3 linked regions of the Rhinolophus ferrumequinum genome follow. Each later gene encodes a partner of the first gene's protein in a complex. Links are inferred from orthologs where the notes say so. Each region holds a gene or a part of one and is shown in the gene's direction. Other genes may lie near its edges.

What was found. The genes of interacting proteins can lie anywhere in the genome.
Region 2: IQCG (region 1) and DRC7 share a complex: the UniProt entries of both Homo sapiens proteins name them as parts of the nexin-dynein regulatory complex. The link is inferred for Rhinolophus ferrumequinum from reciprocal best matches to the Homo sapiens genes DRC9 and DRC7.
Region 3: IQCG (region 1) and EFCAB2 share a complex: the UniProt entries of both Homo sapiens proteins name them as parts of the nexin-dynein regulatory complex. The link is inferred for Rhinolophus ferrumequinum from reciprocal best matches to the Homo sapiens genes DRC9 and DRC8.

What each region holds. Positions count from the first base shown.
Region 1 is NC_046285.1:50,083,655-50,090,852, forward strand, and holds the start of IQCG (dynein regulatory complex protein 9), read left to right. Parts: upstream 1-4,183; 5' UTR 4,184-4,344; intron 4,345-7,198. Other genes in the region: RPL35A (60S ribosomal protein L35a), read right to left, coding at 223-246, 1,638-1,782, 2,869-3,021, 3,212-3,222. UniProt on the Homo sapiens protein: Component of the nexin-dynein regulatory complex (N-DRC), a key regulator of ciliary/flagellar motility which maintains the alignment and integrity of the distal axoneme and regulates microtubule sliding in motile axonemes.
Region 2 is NC_046298.1:10,259,604-10,266,742, forward strand, and holds the start of DRC7 (dynein regulatory complex subunit 7), read left to right. Parts: upstream 1-4,139; 5' UTR 4,140-4,217; intron 4,218-5,821; 5' UTR 5,822-5,992; intron 5,993-6,710; exon of another isoform or gene 6,711-6,713; 5' UTR 6,714-6,748; coding exon 6,749-6,942; exon of another isoform or gene 6,943-6,954; intron 6,955-7,139. UniProt on the Homo sapiens protein: Component of the nexin-dynein regulatory complex (N-DRC) a key regulator of ciliary/flagellar motility which maintains the alignment and integrity of the distal axoneme and regulates microtubule sliding in motile axonemes.
Region 3 is NC_046310.1:16,398,698-16,406,679, reverse strand, and holds the start of EFCAB2 (dynein regulatory complex protein 8), read left to right. Parts: upstream 1-4,982; 5' UTR 4,983-5,096; exon of another isoform or gene 5,097-5,226; intron 5,227-5,579; 5' UTR 5,580-5,678; coding exon 5,679-5,709; intron 5,710-7,982. UniProt on the Homo sapiens protein: Component of the nexin-dynein regulatory complex (N-DRC), a key regulator of ciliary/flagellar motility which maintains the alignment and integrity of the distal axoneme and regulates microtubule sliding in motile axonemes.

The sequences.
Region 1 (7,198 bases):
CTACTGTCCCCCTCTCCTTTAACAAACTCACATCCTATCCCATTGTCTAAATCTCTGTAATCATCATTACATATAGCCCTTTGACTTCCTTGAATACTTTGAAAATGCCTGACAACCACCATCATTTAAGGACGTAACAAATGAATTTAGGACAAAGTGATTTTTAAGCCATTTAACAAAAATACAAGAGAACAAATCCACTTTATTTACTTTTCAGTAAGTTTAAATCCTTGAGGGGTACAGCATCTGGGGGGAAAAAAGAACACAATGCCATTAGATGCATGTTACATACAAATTTACCAATGTTACTAAATACCACAATATGGATCAATCCCATTATTCATCTCTGAAATGCATCCAATGATGACTTATATCCCGGTGGGGAGGGAACCAAGTTTTTATAGCCTTCAGTTTCTAGGTGAACACGCTTTGATTAAGAACCAATATGGGAGCATTGAAAGTCCATTTAATTTTGCTACTTCTAATGACAGTGTAAAAAACTTCCTGATGAGACAACTCAACTGCTTAGCAGGGTTCAAAAGTACCCTGGGACCCCAACACTGTGGCCAAATCTATTAAAAATGGAGCCTAACTAAAGAAAACAGGAGCTATTTTAGGAAAATCATGAGATCTGGATTCAAAGACTTGGGCCCAAATCCTGGGACCCAAAAACATGAGCATCAGTTTTCTTCTACAAAATAAGGCCAATAACACCTACTCTAACGAGACTGTCATGATGAAAACATGGGAAAAATACTAAGAATTATGCCAGGAAGGGGCAGCCAGATAGCTCAGTTGGTTAGAGCCCGAGCTCCAAGCAACAGGGTTGCAGGTTCGATTCCCACATGGGCCAGTGAGCTGCGCGCTCCACAACTAGATTGAAGACAAGCTGCCACTGATCTCCCGGGCAGCTGGATGGCAGTTGGTTAGAGCGCATGCTCTCAACAAGAAGGCTGCCGGTTTGACTTCCAGTTTGACTTCCGCGTGGGATGATGGGCTGTGCCCCCCTCCCCCACAACTAGATTGAAAACGTCAAACGGACTTGGAGCTGATGGGTCCTGGGAAAAAAACACTGTTCCACAATAAAGTCCTATTCCCCTTCCCCAATAAAATCTTTAAAAAAGGGAGGGGGGCTCTAGAAGAGGGTAAACAGGGTCTAATACATGGTGATGGAAACAGAACTGACTCTAGGTGGTGAACATACAATGTGAGATATAGATAATGTATTACAGAATTGTACACCTGAAATCTATGTACCTTTACTAACTACTGTCACCCCAATAAACTTTATAATTTAAAAAAAAAATTATGCCAGGAAAAATTGAATTTTTATTTTCTAGCAATTACTTCAGTGTCCAATAAATATCTTTGCCAGAAAAATGTTCATTTAAATGCTTTTCCCCTCACCGCAGCTTTAGCAAAATCTGAAATCTAGGCACAATCCACTTGCATATTTTGCCTTCATTTTCCTTCTAATGCCAAGATCTGATGTTCTACATTTTACACAGTAGCCACGAATTTTGTAGCATAATCTATTAATGACATTTTATAATCACAATAGTTCTTAGAAGTCAAAGCCCAAGCCTTGAGCTTAGTTTGACTCAACGGAGTGTCATATTGCTAATAATTGGACTTACTACACGGATTCTGTGTCCTATGGCTTTAGCAGGAAGGTTGCTTCGGAATTTGGCACGAACCATACCACTGTTTCCATGAGCACGAGTTACCTTTCCCCAGATTACTCTGGTTTTGTTCGGTTTGCCACCAGGAGTAACTGTGTTACTGATTTTAAAAGGGAATAAAAGAGGAATGAGAACTCAGGCAACCACTACAGTGTGGTACAAATTCAAAATGACATCTAGACAGTGGCTCTTGAGCCTAGTTAACCACTTAGTGACATGAGAAACTTGAAAATAAGCCTGGGCCATCATTCATTCAACAAATACTTGAGTATCAACTATATGCCACGTTTATAAATGTAATTTTTAAAAACTTTGTAAAATAGAGCCATTTACAAAACAAAACTTTCAGAGGATAACTATGTAAATATAGCCTTCAGTTATATGTTAAGTAAAATGTATAGATTGTCAGATGGTAATAACTGCAATATATAATAATAATAATAAAAAACAATGGGAGATAAGAAGTTTGAGAATATTTGTGTTTGCAAATTTTAAATAGCAAAGAAAGGCCTCACTGAGAAGGTAACACTGAGCAAAGACTGGAAGATAAGGGAACAGCCTGTGTTTAAAACCTGTGGTTTGTGTCCCTGGCTTGTGGAAAGGCAGGAAATAGATATCAAGAGTTAAATCCTAGCTGGATTAAGAGTAGAAATTGGGAGCCTTGAATGCATAAGATCTTTAACGACTTTAGCTTTTACTAAATGAGATGAGGATCAGTTGGAATTTGAGCAATGCAGCGATGACCTGACATAATTTTAAAGAGCTCTGGCTGTAGAAGGAAAAGGGGGCAAAGATGAAGGCATGTCCCCAGAGATTTTAATTGGTCTGGAATGGGTTTAAGAACCAAGGATTAAGAACCAATGCTCTAGGAACATCTTTAAGTATACATATAAAACATAATTTCAAGGAATCAACGAAATGAATTAAGGAACATGTAAAGTACTCTGTAAAATTTTTAAATCATACAAGGAGTTGGCTCCTTTCTTGAAACATTTAACAGCTGTACCCAACATCATCCACAAAATAACATCCTTCTGTAACCTCCCATCCCATGAAGTTCCTTAAAATCCCAAAGTAGAAGGCACAACAGTACCAATTACTTTACCAACATCTTTTTATTCCTCTTTGAATAGGAAAATGACACAGATCAAATAAAAATGCAAAAAGTATAATACTATAAACTTACTTCTTTGCCTTGTACACATACGCACATCTCTTGCCTAGATAGAATTCAGTTTCATCTCGAGCATAAACACCTTCAATTTTAAGAAGAGCTGTGTGCTCTCTCTGGTTCCGGAGACCCCGCTTATAGCCAGCAAAAATGGCTTTGGACCACAACCTAAAACACACAAAGTATATATTAACCATAAGCTGTTGTTAATATCTCCTTTAAGTTCAAACGTCCAGTATAATATGACTTGTAACGACCCTCACCCAAAAGTTACCTAATTTCTCCCACTAGTTTTAAACTCGCCTTTAGATTCATGCTGAACAAAAAACTTCGAGTACAAAACAATGAAAAGCAGTACCTTCCAGACATATTTGTCGTTTTAGAAGTCCTGTTCCCAGCAGGCCTTAAAATAAACAAAAAAATCAGTTTAAAATCTCGTAACGCATACTCCCCACCTGGTCCCCTCTCGTCTCTTAAACGTGTTACGTTAAATTCCTTTTTGATCGGCATTTCACGCTGAGTGTGGAAACGTAACTATGCCATAAATACATGAAGCGCAGTCTGGCACGACATCCCAACCCCAAAGAATGCCTAATAGCTAAGTAAACTTGAAAATAAGTGTCAAGACTCTACACTAAAATAACCCAAAGAAACTCCAAAGGAAGTTCTAAGAAAATTCATGCCATGATCAGAAGGAAGATCAAGGAGTCAGAGAAACATGCAGAAAACAACTCTTTAGCAATAAATGGGAAAGAAAACCGAAGAAACTGTAAGCAAGCAAAAGCCAAGACTGGAATGGGAGCAACTGGAAAAAATCCATCCTAAAAGAGCCACTGCCTCAAAAAGGTAAATGCAGACGAAGTGCATCTGTTTCACTCCGTTACGGCCCAGAAGAAGCAATTCTGATTACGGGAGCACCCGCTCTCCGGACGTCAGGGGACCAGCACCATCAGTCCCATATCTCCTCCATCCTGTCCTCCCTATTGCTGGAATCCATAGAAATCAGTGGCTGGCAGTGCCTCCGAGCCGCAACAGTGGCTCAGAGACATATGTGGTTGAACGCACTCCAGTTATTTACCCCCAAATTTCAGCAGCACGAAAACCACTCACCTCCCCAGGCGCCAAAATGGCGGAAAAAGGAAGGCGAAGCCCCGCCGCGTAGCCTTGTGGGAAAAATACTTTCACCTCGCCTCCAGTTTAGGCATCTTCCGCGACCGCCAAAAAAAAAGCCTCAGAAATCGTCTTCTGACTGAAACAAGCCACATTTAACAACACTCTTAAAATTCTTCCCTTAAGTCCTTCCATTTTTGCAAGCTGCAACATGTATTATTTTTTAGAATAGAGGAAGGCAAAGTAGTAGCCAACTAAAAGAGAAGCAAAAAGTCCCTCAAAGCTGACCGTTGCCATAGAAACATCTTAGCGTGGTTCCTGCGAGCTCCGGTTGTAGGTGGAAAAAGTGAAGCCGGACGGGAGGACATAGCGCCGCTTGAGGTACCTCAGATTTGATTCGCCAATGTAGGGGTAGCTTTCCCTCTTACTAGACAGGAGTAGGCCAACGGAGACTCTCGGATCCTATCCTGGAAGAGAAAGGCCGGGAGCACAAAGGCAGGAGGAGCCCTTCTCTTTACCTTACTCCTTCCCTCCTTCTGCTCCTTTATCTCTTTCCAGAAATGAGTTACATTCTTACCTCCATCCTTTGATTTGACCCCGAGGGTAAGGAGGACTGCCCTGAAAAGACCTTACTCCCTTTTAGGGGAATAAGGTAAACTGTCAGGCTAACGGTCTGGGCGCCCAGCACCATGCCCACACGTTCACGTCTTCAGTAATTACTTGAATACTAGCATAAGATAAGTTAATGGACGTCAGAGATTTATATTTCCTAATTATTGCACATTTATTTGGGTTACCCTATGGATTCATTCATTTATTCAACAGTTTATTGAGTGACTCCTACATACCAAGTTTTGTTCTTGATTCGGAGGACACTGAACAAAACAACAGAACTTGACCCTCGTAGAACTTACATCCTGGTAGGGGGGAGAAAGACAATAAGCAAGTAAAATGTATGGCACATTAGAAGGTGATGTGAGAAACATATTCTTTATGGAGAAAAATTAAGCTCGGAGGACTGTAAAGGATGGGATGGGAAGCCATTTGAGATTTCTGTATAGAGGAGCTGCTCAATCTGACTTCCATTTTAACAGGGTCACTGTGTTGAGACTGAAGGGAAATAAGGGCACCATCTGGGAGATCGATTCGGAAGCTATTGTGATGATCCTAATGAGAGATTATGGCATGTAGACAGAAGTGATGAGTACTGGAATTCTGAATATATTTTGAATGTAACACTGACAGGATTTGCTGATAGATGAGGAATGAGAGAGAGAAAAGGATGACTTCAAAGTTTCATAAAATAGGTGTATATAAATCATTTAAAATTAGATCGTCTTATAAATACATCAAGATAGAATTTATGTACCTTTATAGCCCACTCTCCCTATCCAATTTTCTGTGTCCCAGAAATATACCAGAAATCCCAATATTAGAGAATGTACTCACAATCTCACTGTTAAATGTACTGTTATAGAAATCCAAAGATAAGTACTCCTGAGAGGAATAACACATTGAATTTTATTCCTTTGTTCATTCATTCATCCATTCTACACATACTTACTGAGAATAGTGCCTGAAACTTAGGATACAATAGCGAGCATTGTCATGGTTCCTGATTTCATGGAACTTAACAGTCTAGTGGGGGAAATTGACATAAACATTACAAATTATGCAGGAAAATACAAGTGCAATGAATGCTTGAACAGAGAGATCCTGATCCAGCCTAATGAGTCAGGGATAGTGTCACTTGGCAGAAGTATCATTTAAGACATTTTCCAAACTGGAGGTTATGGTACATTAGATCATGGTTATAAAACTTTCTAAGCAAAACATGATAGAATTGAAAATATCAGAACGTATCACATGTTATAAATTGTTTTATGAAACTTGTTATTTGCATGTATATTTACATATATACATATATATGTATATATATACGTGTGTGTGTGTATATACACACACACACACTACATATAAAAATGTATACATGTCATTGTAGGTCATTGTATCAGTGTTGCCCTGGAAGGAAACAGTTGGCAGAGTTGAGGAGAATTTAATAAGGAGTCTGCTTACAAAAGTATAGGCACAAGTGAAACTATAAGGGATGATGCCGTTTCCAGGCACATGGGAAAGAAGTTACCTGAACTCCCAAGAGAGAGCAATATGGAGAGGATTGCCTGACAGAACCCATGCATGGCCTTTGACAGAGAAACATTGCCAACCAGTGGTGATCTGGCAGGGGTATCACCACCTAACCTCACAATCCTACACTTTGGATCTCTTTTGGAATCTCCCATTGATGCACTCCATATGGATCAGTCTCTCACGGCACAGAAAATGGTGGAGATTGGATCTAGAAGGGCACATAGCAGATACCTAGCAAAATGCCACTGATTTAAGCTGCTACCTGATGGATCAGTGGGACTTTACAAGGTAAAGAAGGGAGAGGAACAGTTCCAGTTAAAGGAATAGCATATGCAAAAACCCTGAGTTGAAAGGGAGCATGATTCAGTTTTGACCAAGAACTGCAAGGCAATTAAAAGCTTTATTTGGGGGTCTTTTTTAGGAATTGCAATCCAGGAGACACAGATTTTGTTGGAAACCCCAACTGTGTTCTGAGGGGGAAAGAAAGAGACAGAGTTTGTAAAAACAGAAAAAGGGGGGTACCCAGAGGGATTACACAAATTGTTTTGAAAGAGCTGTGATTGGTAATGGCAAGATGAAGGAAGAAGCAGGAATGATTCCTGGGTTTCTAGTGTTGAAGAATGAGAAGCTAGAACAGCACAAAAGCACTGGATACTACATAAGCATAGCCCTGTCTTACCTATGTGAAGTATATTGACCTATGCCCCAAGCCGAAAAAATGTTAAAATAACACAACAAAAGAACAAAACCTTAACACCATGCTACTTCCTAAGGCTGTCCTGGCACCAGAAAATTTGGCTAGTTTGGAGTATGTTTTTCTCAGTTTATTACATAAAGATTGTTTTATATGTTTGAATTTTTGCATGTGAGATTTTTGTTGTGTGAGGCATATTTGTACCACTCCTCTCAGGATCACTTTATTGTGAACAAAATCACACTGGAAACTCACCATTCACTATTCATTCAGTATAGAGCAAAATTCTCCATGGAGAATTTAAAACTCTTTTAAGCAGAAAGGACTTTGGTTTACCAAGAAGGGGTAACATCTTGATAACTGTATTAAACTGATTTTCCAGATAAATACAGT
Region 2 (7,139 bases), on another chromosome or scaffold:
CTATGCAACCTGTATGTAAACTAGGAGGGGTTTGAAGGTTAAAGCTCCCTTCCAGATTCTTCTACAGCTCTGCCAAGTGGACCAGCCCTGTGTGAGGATGAGGCATGGAGGCCCCGAGAGGCCCTGCAACGTACACAAGGACACTCTGCGAGGTGGGCTGGTGCCAAGGCTGGGGCCTCCCTGGGTTGCTGGCATCGTCTCCCAGAGCATTCCCTGGGTTCAAGAATTATCACCTCGTTCCGACCCCGCAAACCCTGGGCTGGGGCTTTCCCAGACACGCTCAGTGGGATGTGGGACCCACAAAACCACAAGCCCCAAATGGACTGGGTTTCTTGGTACATATGGAGAAGGTAGACGAGGGGTGCAGTTAACAATGCAGATGTGTTATTTTGCTGCTGGCTCTCCACCCCAAGGCCAGGCAGGGGCAGAGAGGCTGGGGTTCCTCATTGCCTAGGCTCACTGCAAAAGCAGCTCCAAGTGCCAGGCTGAACACATGCTAAGGCCAGGCAGGGTCATGGGAAAAAGACACCCCAAGGCCCAGCGCAAGTGTGCAGGGTTGCCCCGTCACTGAACCCTCCCAACAGCAACCGAAGAGGTGGGTAGCTCCATGGTCAAGAGTACAAACTCTAGGGTCAGCCTGCTTGGTCCAGATCCTGCCTCTGCTACTTCCTTGGACCAATTCTTCACCTGCTGGACCTGTAAAGCAGGAATGGCAGTAGTTGCCCCACAGGGCTGATGAAGGATTACATGAGATAGTGGTTGATAGTGCCGGCCACGGGTTGCAGCAGGAATGTGACTGAGCCAGAGATTGGCCATCACCTTATTAGGCCCTGGGCTGCAGTAATCTTCTGTGTGCTGTGGAAAGAGTCCCCTCCACCACCACTGCCGGGGCTCCCTGGTTCTCTCCATTCTGCTCCAATTTCTTCATTCCTAGTATTTTTTTCAATACAATATACCAAATATACAGGAAATTAAGAAGACTTGCTCTGTGCTCCCAGGTAGATAATATCAAAAGACAAAAATCCTTGGGCGGGCCCGGTGGCTCAGGCAGTTAGAGCTCCATGCTCCTAACTCCAAAGGCTGCCGGTTCGATTCCCACATGGGCCAGGGGGCTCTCAACCACAAGGCTGCCAGTTCAATTCCTCCAGTCCCACAAGGGATGGTGGGCTCCGCCCCCTGCAACTAAGATTGAACATGGCACCTTGAGCTGAGCTGCAGCTGAGCTCTTGGATGGCTCAGTTGGTTGGAGTGCATCCTTTCAACCAGAAGGTTGCCGGTTTGACTCCCTCAAGGGATGGTGGGCTGCACCCCCTGCAACTAGCAACGGCAACTGGACCTGGAGCTGAGCTGCGCCCTCCACAACTAAGATTGAAAAGACAACAACTTGAAGCTGAACGGCACCCTCCACAACTAAGATTGAAAGGACAACAACTTGACTTGGAAAAAAGTCCTGGAAGTACACACTGTTCCCCCAATAAAGTCCTGTCCCCTTCCCCAATAAAATCTTTAAAAAAAAAAAAAATTTAAAAAAAGACAAAAATCCTTTACAAATTAATCTATGAATACAATGTAATTTCAATAAAGAGTCCAAATGATTTTTAAAGACTTTCCAAAACATTATTCTAAAATGTATATGGAGGCGTATAGGCCTCAAACAGCTAAGCCAAGCTTAATGAAAGAAGGTATAGAAGGAAGACTTGACCTGCAGACAAGAAGTTATTACAAGACAATAGTGGTAAATCCAACATGGGGTCTGTGCAGGGATAGACATGAAGACCAGTGGAGCAGAACAGAAGTCTCAGTGGCAGACTCATGTGCACCTGGGGGACTTTATACGCGACAAGAGTGGCATCATCAAGAAAGGATGGGTGGTCTGATGATGGTGTTGAAAAATTGGCTCATTATATGGAAAAAAATAAAACAGGATCCCTACCTAACCCCTCAAACAGAGATGAGTTCCTGGCAGGTTAAATGTCTAAATGAGATGCCAAAACTATAAAATTAATGTAGGAAAATATTTTGTGACCTAAGGGCAAGGAAGGACTTCTCAAGCAAAACTTCATAAGCACAAAACATCAGACAAAACCTGGCCAATTTAATTGCATCAAAATGAAGGTTTTTCTGTTTAATGAAGGACACCCCGGGCCATGTTAACAGACATGTGACAGAATGAGGGTAGGTATCTGCAACACTGGAAACCAGGGACAAACATCTGGAAGTCCAGCAAACCAAAACAAGGACATATCCCTACTAGAGAGGAACGGGTTGGACAAATTCAGGGAAGGAAACACCTAAAACTAACACGTTAGCACATGAAGACACATTTAAAGTCATTAGTTATCAGAGAGAGGCAAGTTTAATGGAGATATGTGAAACTGGCAACCGTTGGAAGCTGCTGGCAGGGGCAAGGGTTCTAGGATCCCTCACGCATTGCAGAAGGTGGGGAGAGGGTAGGTTTCATTGCCTGGAGAAAAACAGGGTGCTGCTGTTGAATCAGCAGTCCTGCTCCTGGTTACTTATCCTAAAGGAAAACTCTTACAGGTACATGACCGATGACATTGTGACATTATCTGTGATGGAAGGGAGGTGGGGCGAAGTGGGGTGTCCATCACTGGGAGAATGGAGAGGTAATTAATGTGGATCCTTGCTGTGGACACCTAGCAACATGGATGGATCTTAAGAACATGGTTCTTAGTGAAAATAAAAGAAACGGGGAATAGGAATGCCGTATCATTTACACAAATTAAAAAGAGAAGCATGCAAAGCAATGCACTCTACAATGATTGTCTATGGGGACAGAAAGTGAGAGTGGGTGTAGGGATAAAGGGGAATAAATAAATATACAAAAGAAGTGGGCTGTTACATGGGGAAAAGAGAAAAATGAAGCCTATGTTCCATTCCACCAGCCTCCACATTACCTGCTTCCCTTTTCCTCTTCTCTTCCTGCCTTCACCCCTGGCAAATTCCCTACAGAGCTAATCGCAGGACGCTCACCAGGACGGGGGGCCTCACGCGGTCTCTGGAGCTTTCCCTCAGTCCAATTTATCCTTCACATGTTGTTTTTCATGACTGCATAATATTCTAACCAGAAGAAAAAGAATCCTCTTTATTATTGAGAATTGAGGTGACCTACGTTGCAACCAGTAACAGCAACTATATGACCTTGTCAGGACATCTGCAGTATTTCTCCAGACCCTTATCTCCAAACCTCCACAGGCCGAATTATGACTTTTGTGGGCCCCTCCTTCCAAAAACAAAACAGTCAAAATGATATTTTATGACTCCATTGGTACAAAGATGAATAGAACCCAGGGTAGACTCATCATTGTAGGTCCATTATTAGTCTATTAATTTTTTTTTCTTCTGAATTTAGAAGAAATTCAAATGAAACATTTTCATGGGCCTCTAACCTAATGAGCAAGTTTTCTCTGTCCTGGGAGCTTCATACTAAATCAGAGGCCCAGAAACCAGGCCTCTAGTCCTGGACTAGAAACCAGGACTCAGGCAGCCTGGCTCTGTTCACCACAGGACAGGGCCCACACTGGTTTCCATCTATCCTGATGAAGGCCACGTTGATTGTGCATGGTGCAAGGGCCGCAGTATCCTGGTAAATGTTTAACTGGCTCGATGAGAGAAAAAGCCCTGGCCTGTAGCATTTGCCAATTTCTGTGGTGTAAATAATCCCACGGCCAATTTTAAGCCAATTTTTATCGATGCGACATCACTAAACAAAAGTTGGGAAAAGATGCAGAGTAGCTCACCATTATATAATATTTTTATTATACAGATACAATAGGCCTAAATAACCTCAAGAGCTTACATAATAGTACAATATAGTAAAATAATTAGGAAGGGATGCATTTTGGCTATTTATTGCCTTTGTTTTAGATACAATCTATTTACTTACACATTTTGATAATTCAATTTTTAATAATGCCTTTGTCAACTAGCTCACAAACCTTCTTGAAATTTTAATAACCAGGTCTTGCAAGCTGCCACAAGCTGGCTCCAGCCGCCACTTTTCAAGGGATCTGCAGTAGTGGGTCTTCTGGGCCCAGAACTGAGTAGTGACAGAAGACTACATTTCCCAGAAGCCTCCTCTCCCAGGACCAGACAGCTTCCCAAAGCCGTTACCATGGAGACAGGCTAACAGATGGTACAGGCTGTCCTCAGAGGACTGGGGGTGATTGGACCTTGCCTGCCAGGGAGAGGGGAAGGTTGGTAAGGGGGCTTCCTCTGCCCAGGGCTTTCAGCCCTGATCTTTCTGGGGAAGTTTTGTGTGTGTGTGTGTGTGTGTGTGTGTGTGTGTGTGTGTGTGTGTTGGGGAAGGGAGGTTGCTTCTGGGAGGGGGGTGTGGAAAGTGGCCTGTGGTGGTGGGGAGGTCCTCTGGGCCTCTGGGTCTCTGGGTAGGGTCCGGGGAACTTTGAGGCAGGACTGCCCTCCCCAAACTGCGCTGTAACTGATGAGGTCGCCCAATACTCTGTGAGGAACAAAGTATTACGAGTTCTGGCCCGTCTCTGCCTCTGATGACCGTGTTCTGTGACCTTAGGCTCAGAGCCCATCTCAGTGCCTGCCCCAGTTGTAACCCCCTGCTTCCCACTGATACCTTGACCCTCTCCCCATTCTACTTCTTTCCTTACTCACCACCCTCCTCCCACCGCTCACACCATCCTTCTGAGACTTCCCCATCTCATTAGGCCCTTAAGTGCATGGGTTTCAAACCCCAGATCTGCTATTTACTCTCTGTGAACATAGGCAGTTTCCCCTTGTTCTAGGCCTCAATTTTTCCCTCTACAAAGTGGGTATCATAATAGTGCCTGCCTCACAGAGTCATTGGAGGATAAATGAAATTATCTCTGTAAAACCCTTAGTTAGCACAGCGCCTGGGACTCAGTAGGTGTTCAGTAAACTGGAAGTGCCTTGTAATAGTTATTATCGTCCGCCCTGAGCTTATCCTCTCTGTGCCCAAGAAGCAGACAAATGGCTCTAATCACCAGGCTGTGTTGCTTGCCTGGTGGGCACAGCAGCAGGTTTGCTGCAGGGAACTGGGGTTCTGAACAGACCTGCTGGACACAAGGCCTCAGTTGTGATGTTGACTCCCTGGGACTAGGGTGAGCTGACCTCCAGCAAAGCAACAGGTGCAGTCAGCCCCTGCTGAGTCCTCCAGCATGTCAGCAGTGGACAGAAAACATCCGTCCCACTTTTCATATTGCAGAAGGGGAAATTGACGCCCAGAAAGGGGCAGAGAATGGTCCAAGGCCCCAGCAGGAGCTGCTGGAAGAGCCAAGATTCCCCCTAGCCAGGCTGGTGATCAGTGACTAGCCGCCCACCCCAAGGCGGCCCAGGTAGGGATGGAGCAGGGAGGTAGGGCCCGGCTTCTTGGTCCTGGCTCCACCCCAGAGGGTGATGACAAATCTGGGGAGAGCCTGCTCTTTTCTCCTCGATCCTCACTCTCCTCTCCCACCACAACCTGTGCATTAGGTCAGTTTTCCTCCTCTTTGGGCCTTTGCCTTATTTATTGTTAAAAAAAAAAAATAGATATTTGAGGTGGGGTGATGGAGAGACATGAGCTGGGAGGCAGGAGGCTGGGGGATCAGCTGGGATGGTTTAACAGGAACGTGCTTAAACAAGCAGTAGCTGAATCTCCTCACAGGATGGGAAGTCTGGCGGTGGCACTCAAGGCCTCCACGGCACCTCTTGGGACCATGGCTCCCCCGTCTCGTCACTCTGCCGTATATAGCTGTCAGCGTTGGTCCTCATGTTGGTCATCTCATAGTCATTAATTGGCTGCCCCACCTCCTGCTTTATATCTGTGTCCCAGGCAGGGAGAGGAGAAGGGCAGAGTCTGGGCCGCCTGGGCCCTACCCTTTGACATCCAGCAACTTCAACTGACATCTCAGCGGCCAGAACGGGTGTACCTCACAGGGCCGACCCCAGCTCCAAGGCAGGCGGGGAAGCGGAACATTTCAAACCAGGCACCTGGCTGCCCCCGGTAACATTGGCGTTCTGTTGTACGGAAAGGGGGACTGGATCTTTGGGTAGGAAACTAGTGGTCCGCCTCAGGGAGGCTTTGCTCTGTAACCACAGGCAAGGACTTCCTAGGGCGCACGAACACATATGGCGTTTCAGTTTGGCTCCCAAACAAGCTGACACGGGGCTTGGCCAGGAGACCGCAGGCTCTGTTATCCCCCACGTGCCTGCCCTTTGTCCAGCTGCCTCAGTGGCAGCCCTGTGTTTGCCCCCTCTGTCCCTCAGTTCCAAGTTTCGTGACGCGACCTTCTTTTTGTTACATTCCATATCATCTTACTATGATGAATAATTTTCTTTAAACCAATTCACTTATTAGACTTAATAAATATATTTAGACAGGAAATTTTATGATACTGAAGTAATCCCTTCAGCATTAGCATCACTTGCCATACAGAGAAGGTACTGTCAGAATAAATATGCAAAAAGCCAAGCAATATTAGTACGTTTGGACTACCGTCTCCTGCCCTGACAATAGTTTCCAATCTGTGGCCTGCTTGTCTTTGTTTTAAAGAGAGTCTTCAAGTGGAGACTTTCTCCTCAATGGAAAGGAAGTTTAAGAGAGATTCACTTCCTCCTTCTGTGATCTAAAACACCAAAAATCACGGCTCAGGGACGCAGGTGGTCTTGGTGGCTCCTTCCTGGTCTGAAGTTGGCCATTCTGAGTGCGTGTATCCCTCCAGCAGAGTCTCCGTCTCTAGACAGTCAGAGACACACCAAAATGGAGGTCCTGAAGGAGAAAGTGGAGGAGGAGGAGGCAGCCGAGAGAGAGGAGGCAGCCGAGCGGGCAGAGAGGGGCGAGAAGATGAGGCCATCAGAGGTCCGGAAGGGGGGAACCATCATGACACAGGAGATGCTCAGAGACCTGGAGAAAAAGCTGTCGGAGATTGAGATTACTGTCCCAGGCAGGGACTCGTGAGTGCTGAGGTGGAGGCTTTGGGCCCCGCCGTTCTGGAGACGGCCTGAGCAAGGCTGGGAGAAGGAGGAGCCCGGAGGCATGGTGGCACCTGGGCTGGGAGGCAGGACCAGGAACAGAGAAAGCAGTTAAGAGCGAGGGCTCTGCTTTCAGACCGCCTGGTCCAAGGCCCACTCTTCCCCCGCGCTAGCTGTGT
Region 3 (7,982 bases), on another chromosome or scaffold:
GCCTCCTTTGAGAGACAGGAGAGCAGGCCGAAGCCTTGGGTCTTGATACAAGAAGAAAATGAAAAATGCAGAATAAGATTCTGAGGCAGAATCTCAGGAGAGACTTCGGGGCTCCGCAGGAGAAAAGCCACATTTCCTCACATAGAAGCACTTTGGGAATGTTAACTCTTCGGAGAGGAGATAGAAGCACTTTGGGAATGTTAACTCTTGGTTTCTTCATCTTTAATATGGGCATCGTATTAGTATCCTTCTTATAGGCTTATTTTGATGATTAAGTAAGGTGGTCCGTGTAAAATGCTTGGCATCGTTTCTAGAAAATAGTAACTGCTCCGACTAGTATCGCTATTGGTCCTAGAGCCCTAAGAGAGTCACATAGCCATAGGCCAAAGAAATTACATCAGGCCAGAAGCAACGAGGCAGCGAGAATTATAGGTTGCCTCTATATCCCAAATGGTCAATCTCCTTATCTCCATGTAACCTCCATGTAAACTCAGATGGGGAAACTGAGGTTACAAAGAAGAAATAACATATCCAAAGTCATAGCATAAATGAGCAAAGGACTGAGGTTGAATTCTGGGCCCATTTATCTCCTAAGACTATTTGCTTGATTCTTCTACACAGCATTATCTCCTAACATAAACATTAACATAAATGAAACTTAATTTCAAAAATTTCTTTTTGAAGCAGGAACTGAAAAATCATCCCAAAGCCAATTATCAGCATAATTCTATACTTTTTCTCTATTTTCCCACGTAAACAGGAAGAGGTGATGTGAGCAGCCATAAACATTTATTGACTCTCTGGGTCAGCTCCCAGCCTTTACCTTTCAAGTCTTATTGTCAATGAATAAAGAGCAGAGACTCACCAAAAGTTGCTTAGCAATGAGTGTCCCTGCAAAGTGCTCTCAGGACAGGAAATGTTTAAGTAATAATGAATTAAACAGTGGCTTGCTGTGGCGATGTGTGTTTTTAAAGGAATCAGAAAGAAACATGTGTTTTTGACAGAAATAGGGCCCAGAGTGTGATTTTTCCAAATGTTTTCAAGAGTTGTGGATTCATGTAAGATTTACTTGCAAGCTGCCCCCAGTGCTGCAGTTCCAGCTTCCTGCTCTGGGTCTCCCTGAAAAGCCTGAAGGAACTGTGGCACTGAAAATGCTCTTGTCCAGGGCCAAGAATTTAACACAACCTCCTCAACCCCATTGAGGCCTGAAATCTCCATGTGCAGGAAAGTGAGAAGGAAAGAGAAGGTAAGCAGACCACTGGATCACGGTGGACAAGTGAGTTTCACCTCCTCTCCTGCCATCCAGACGCCAGGTCTTTAACTGTCTGGTCAAACAAGGACAAAGGGCATGCCATCATCTGGTTCCCTTCAAGTCCCTAAGAGTCTCTGCCAGTTGTTTTAGTTGATGTTCTGAAGCAGTAAAAAAAAAAAATAATAGTAGGGGCGGAAGTTGACTAATTCTGCCCAGAATTTTTGTCCTTAACATTCTTCTTAAGATATTCAGTTTACGAAATAGCATAGAACAATGTTATCTTGAATTTATAAAGAAGCAGTATAGCACTAAACGGGGATACTAGTATCAGCCTTATAGGGATTAAAAGAGATAATGTATACAAAGTACTCTTTTGAGTTATTTTTATTTTTATAACTGTAATGAAACCCAACTGTTATTCTGTTGTATTCTGATAAGGTTTTCCTTTTGAGATCATAGGGTAAGGCTACTTGCACTCTGGGTAGGTGTCGAGAGTCTTCCTTGAGGGGCTGGGCATTCTTGATGTGAATTATCCAGGGAAGGGCTGTATCCTCAGTTAGGAAACGGGAATCAGACCAGAGAAGCAATTCCCTCCCTCTTATTTTGCTGGGTCTAGAGCTCAAGGATTCTAGATATGCTTAAGGTCACTCCTGCTTGGTAAGGTTTAAAAATGGCTAGATGGAAACCAGGAAGGGGCCACACACTGAAGATGGTGACCTCTATCATGTAAAATAGATCTTGTCACGTAGGCAGCAGAGGCCCGGAGTCAGACCACCTCCCACTGTGTAGCTGAAGCATTGGAAAAGCAAATTCTCCAAGTGGAATCTGAATCTCAGGAAAGAAGTTGGGCTTTGACCTTTAAGGGCTCTTTCCTACGTGGAAGTGGGGTTTTTTTCATTTAACGAGAGCAGATTTCCTTGCAGGTTCTTTTCAAAACTTCTGGTTATATCTATTGAGTGTCTTGAAAACATTAAGATAGGTAGTTTGGACATTGCTGCGACTCTTTCTGAGTTAACTAAGTTTTAGAGATTATATGACCTGACCTGCCTAGGGTCAGGAGGTCAGTTCTGGCAATGACGGAGGAAAATCCAGTTTTTGTTTTTTCAGCTTATTCCTGCCTAGTCCAAGGAGATTTCAATGATTGCCATATGAGGAAAGTAAATATGAAGATTTTTTTGACTATCATTTTGCATTATTCACACCATTACCCATTCCACTTCACCCATATCTTAGGTAACTGAATCAACTGTATTCAGAAGAAACAGAAGTTCCCGTGTCCCTCATGGGCACGGAACTAACACCTATAGAAAAAGATTTAACTCACAGTACATTCAAACATGCAAAAGGACAGAACTTTTTCATAGCCATCTGTCCCCATTGAATAATTGATCAAGTAAGTGTCACAGTCTAAAACTATGCTCTTGCTTTTCTGATTTAGTCCTAAGGTTATATATCCATGAATGGGAACAAAAATAATTTTTCCAATTCTGTATTTCTGACAAAATCACTGAGATTCTTAAGTGAAAGAATGCCTTAGCAGCATATAATATTACAAAGTTACTCAATCTATAGTTCGGAAACGAAATATATTCTAAGGAAAAGAAATGGTTGTAGTTTGCCATTGTCCTAAGTGAGCTAATTATATTTCAAAAAAGTTAAAATTGGAGGTCAAGTTTCCACAACCAAAGAAAAGTGGAAAGTTGAGTCAAATATCAGCATAATGCACATAATTACTCATTGGTATTGTGGGCCTTTATTGTGTTATTCGGTTATTTTCTCACTTCGTGGAAAGTTTTCCAGAATAATTACATACTTTTACGTCTAATTAATCAATTGAAAAGTATATATTAAGCTTCTAATATGTGCCCCAATTTAGGCTAGGGATTGTGGGTATATAAAAGGTGATTAGGCTCTTGTCTTCAAACCTAATTGGGGGGAGGGGTTAATTAACATCTATTAAATTTTTTTTTTTACTCAGTCAAACTTAGAGAAACAGTATTGTATTAAATATGCTGTGGGAATTCAGAGAAGTAGAGATTAATGTGGTTTGGAATAATCTAAATAATAAACTTTGCTTCTCAATCATTGACAAGACTAACTCCTGGTTTAATTTTTAAAATACATATTATTTCAGACACAAAAGTTGAAAAATTGTTCTAGGCATTGGGGATATATGGACAAATAAAGCGTTTGCTATCCTCAAGAGCTTAGTTTGGTAGAAGGAAACAAGCAAATAAACTGTTAAAAGAAGAATCAACAGGCCAAAATGGAGTCACTTTTGCTAAGCCATGTTACTGAAACTTAATAACTTAACTTAACTGCAGTTTCAGTCTTTCCCAGGTGTGAAACTTGAAAACAGTCTGGAATTTCCTGACCAACACCAGTTAGGTAATCTGCATGATTAGACACCCTGCCTTCCTCTAAGGGATGATGTCCTTGCCTGAAATAACCTACTCTTAACTTCCTAGTGCCACCTTCTTTCTGCCTATAAAACCTTCCATTTTGTACAATTCATTGGAGCTCCCTTCTTGTTGCTACCGGGGTTGCTGCCCAATTCATGAATCGCTTACTACAGTCAATTAGACCTTCAAATTTACTTGGTTGAATTTTGTATTTTAGCAAAACAAAGTCATCGACAATCAATGTGAGATGCTCTATGAGTACAGGATAGAGGAAGAGGTTGACAGGAAAAGCTTCCAAGGAGGTCAGTGACAACCAGGAGGGAACAAATGTGACTGTGGGAGGGTGAATGTTGGGGTAGGGAGAGAGAAGAGAAAGGCATTCCAGAAAAAGAGAAATGCAAAACAGCATAGGAGAAAAGGCACAGGAAATAGGTATAGGTAATAAACCTGAGACCAAAGTTGGTTTTCTACATTTATTTCAAAGCCCTTCATTATCTATATGGCCAGTGGGCCTCTTTAAACAAATAAGTAGACCATAATGACTATGACATTTACATATAAATGCTAATGATTACTTTCCATATTTTTGGGTGTGAAGAATTTACTGTACACAATTGTATTCATTTTTATAAATATCTATCTTTGAATATGAGCCATTTGTGATGATGCCATCGTTTATATTCAGTTTCAAAGAGAATGCTGATCACAGCACCACATGAATATCTTCTATAGAAAAAGTACTTACTTTAATAAAGAAAAATCGTAGTTTGCTTTAGGGTTTACTGAGAAATTATAGAACCAGAATTAATAAAAAGCATAAAAACAGTAAAATCATAGAATACCTTGTATTTTGAAGGCCTCTTACTGTTTTTACATAACATCAAGTCATTTACATTAGTACACATATGCACTTAAAAAAATCATCCAAGATTAGTTTTAAAAATACATATTCGTTTGACCCTCATTATTAGGCATATTATTCAAAAATCATCTTAAAAAGAAAATATTCTTGTATAGTGAACTTCTCGTTAAAATTTTAGAGACCAAAATTTAACATCATGTTCCAGTTGCAAGTTTCAGAAAAGCGGGCTGTAGGACTTTTCCATAGTAACTTTAACTAGAGGTCAAGTCCAATTTCACAACTAAGAACATCTTAACCTATTGTAGCAATAAGCACAACTCGGGCACGTTTTTTGTCGCTAGGAGAACCTATTCCGTATCAGAAATTGCAGCCTTGACGACGCAACCTATTTTGCACACGTTTTTCTCCAGCTATTTCTTTCTTCAAGTAATAACAGTCAAATGGCTCTGATTTCCTCTTGCACCCGGCCGAGTTTTGCGTTTAGCTCCAGTTCCCATAGGCGGTGCAGTCGCCGTCCCTGGGAGCCGGCGGCGAGCCATGCCTGGAGCGGAGCAAAGGCGGACGGCAAGAGCAGGGGCAGGTCGGCCTCTGCGCCGCAGCCAGCCGCTTCCCAGCGCGACGCGGGCGGTGGGTGGGAAGGGGGAGGAGGCGGGATTGCGGGGGGGTTCTGTCACCCCCTCGGGAGTCGGGCGCTTCACCCAGCTCTCCAGGTGCGTTTTAAAATCTGCAGTAAAAAAATCAAAAATAAAAATCGAGTAACGCCACGTCGTCCCAGGAGGGGTGGGCGATAGCTGTGTGTCTGATGTCCCCAAATGCATCAAAAATAAAGGAAAGGAGGCTTTCGGAACTTTATTAAATAACTCCTCTACGTCAGAGAAATCAGGGCTGAGGCTCCGCTTTTGCGGGGAAAGTGCTCCAGCCGGTGGAGCGGCGCGGGGGGCGGCGGGACCGGGCTCGGGTCTCGCAGGCGCGCGAGGGTCGCGGCGGGAAGTGGGGGAAGGGCGCGTGCTCGGAGTCGCCCCTTCCCCCGATTAAGGGTCTCCTTCCCTCCGGGTTCGAGCAGCGGTCCTCCAGGCCCGACTCGCCGCGGGGGCTGGAGGGGCAAGGACGCCGCGCCCTCGGTTAACGACCGTCGTCTCTCGGGCAACGGGTTCCGCACAAGATGGCGGACAATAAAGAAAGGGAACACTCAGGTAAGAGGCTGCCCTCGCCGCCCGCGGCGACCCGGGCCGCGCAGGGGAGCGCCGGGTGGGGCCGGGTGACCCTCCATCTGGAACTCCCACCGCAGGGCGCGGTGACTGCGGAGGGGGCCGCTCTCCCCGGCTCCCGCCGCCTCCCCGGCCCACGCCTCGGCCCCGCCCCGCCCCCGTCTCCTCCCCGCCCCGCCCCCCTCGGTCTCCTCCCCGCCCCGCCCGCCCAGTTCCTCCCGTCCCCCTTCTTCGTCCCTCCCTCGGGGGACCGAGCCACGGTTCCAGCCTGGGTTGCGGCCGAGGCACTGGCGGCGTAGGGCGATAATGGCGTCCTTGTTCACGGTCGCGGGGACCCCGCTTCCAAACCGTCGCCCCGGCTCTCCGGGCCGCAGGCGCCACGCCGGCAGCTTCCGGAGCTGTGGTCCCCGGGCCGTCCTGGGTGAGGACGGGCCTGGCCGCCGGGTCCTCTCCGGCCGCGCCGCAACCCCTCCCCCTCCCCAGGCGTTTGGCTCCCGCGGCCACCATTTTGCCTCCTCACCGGGGACATGGGAGGACGGCCTCGAGGTCACAGTTGTCCCCTCCGCGCCTCTAGGCTCCGAAATGCCTCTGCTCTACCGGCTGCGCCCACCCGTCTGGGGTTTTGTTTTAAAACACAAAACAAAACACGATGTTAATAAAGACGACAGAGCAATCGAGCGGGAACGCGCACTAGCTCCCGTGCGCCGACTCGGCCTTTGCCGCGGGCTCGCGGCCGCATCAGCCCGCCAACCCGGTCACGGGCGCGGCCAACGTGGAAGGACGGGGCTTCCAGGCTCCTGGTCACTAGATCGGAAGGATTGATGTGTTCTTTTGTGCGGAGAAGCGATTATCCACGTTTATTTGCAAGACCTTTGTTTTCACTGAACAGTATAATCCAATACTGGGTTACCATCCTCTTACTCGAAAATGTCTGTTTATGTTTGGGAATTGGCAGACTCATCGCAAAACCAACATCAAGCCATAACTGTAGAGGTGCACATCTTAGAAATGAAAGTAATTCATTCCACCTCTGTTTCCTTTTTTGAGAGATCTAAGCACACCCTATCAACATGCCTTTTTTCTCAGCATGGAACAAAGTGTTTCAGGTTAACAACTAATATTTACAAGTGAAGAAGCCAGTTCTGAGATAGTCAGTTGTCATGGTGATCACAGAAAATTCAGCGGGGAAGCACAAAAACTGCGAAGATCTGCCTATAGATAAGAGTCATACTATTTCATTTTTTCATGGTACCCTTAGTCTGAAAGGACAGAATTATTTTATATAGATGTCAACGTTCCTAAGATGTCCTTATAAGTTATCATACTGCATTAAGGTACATTCTAATAAAATTATTATTTGTACGGTTTTTTTTAAAACTCAGAAAACCAAATGACTTAGTTATTTTAATTAATTCTTACAAAAATGTAAACAATCATTAGGAGATAAGTTACTTGTGGATATTTGTGTTTTAGCAAAAGATTTGATTAGGTCAGCATGAGAAACAAAGCACTGGATTATGTTGCAAATACAATTTTTTTCTTTACTTTAAAAATAGATTGAGAGCTTTTCTGATTTTTCAGTTTTCAGAAATATTTTTGAAATACATTATTTAAAATAATTCAGAGGGAGAAACAATCTGTCTATAAGTATAGAAGAAGTAATGACTGTTAAAAGCTGTATGTCATTCATTCAGTTGGCATATTTAATGCCTATCATATGGAAGGCATTCTGATTAGGTTAGAACTTTGGAGGATATAAAGATGACAAAGCCCTCATCTTTTCTCCCTAGAAAGGTAAGATCTGTAGGGGAGATAAGATATCCACAATGGGAAGAACAGTTAATGGCGCTGAGAAGCCAGTATGCCAGATACTGTCCCAGGGGTGTTCTAGCTCCTGGTGTGTGGACAGTAGCCTGGGCATCACAGGGAGCTTATTAGAAAAGAAAAATGTCAGTTCTTGCTCCTGACCTATGAATCAGTCTTCATTTTAACAGATTTGGTGACTCATATACACATTAAAGTTTGAGAAGCACTGTTGTATGGTATATCTCATTTATTCTTAACAATTTTTTGAGTTAACTATAATTACATTTTGAAGGGCATGATGAAATAAAGGCACATGCTGTCTGAGGATAATCTTTGTATTGACATTGCACTCCTATATTTGATTCTCAGCTTTGAAGATTAGAAATTACATCTAGCCAATTAATCAGAATTGATCAGACTTTGGGGAGTCACTCAAGCTAACTAAACTCATG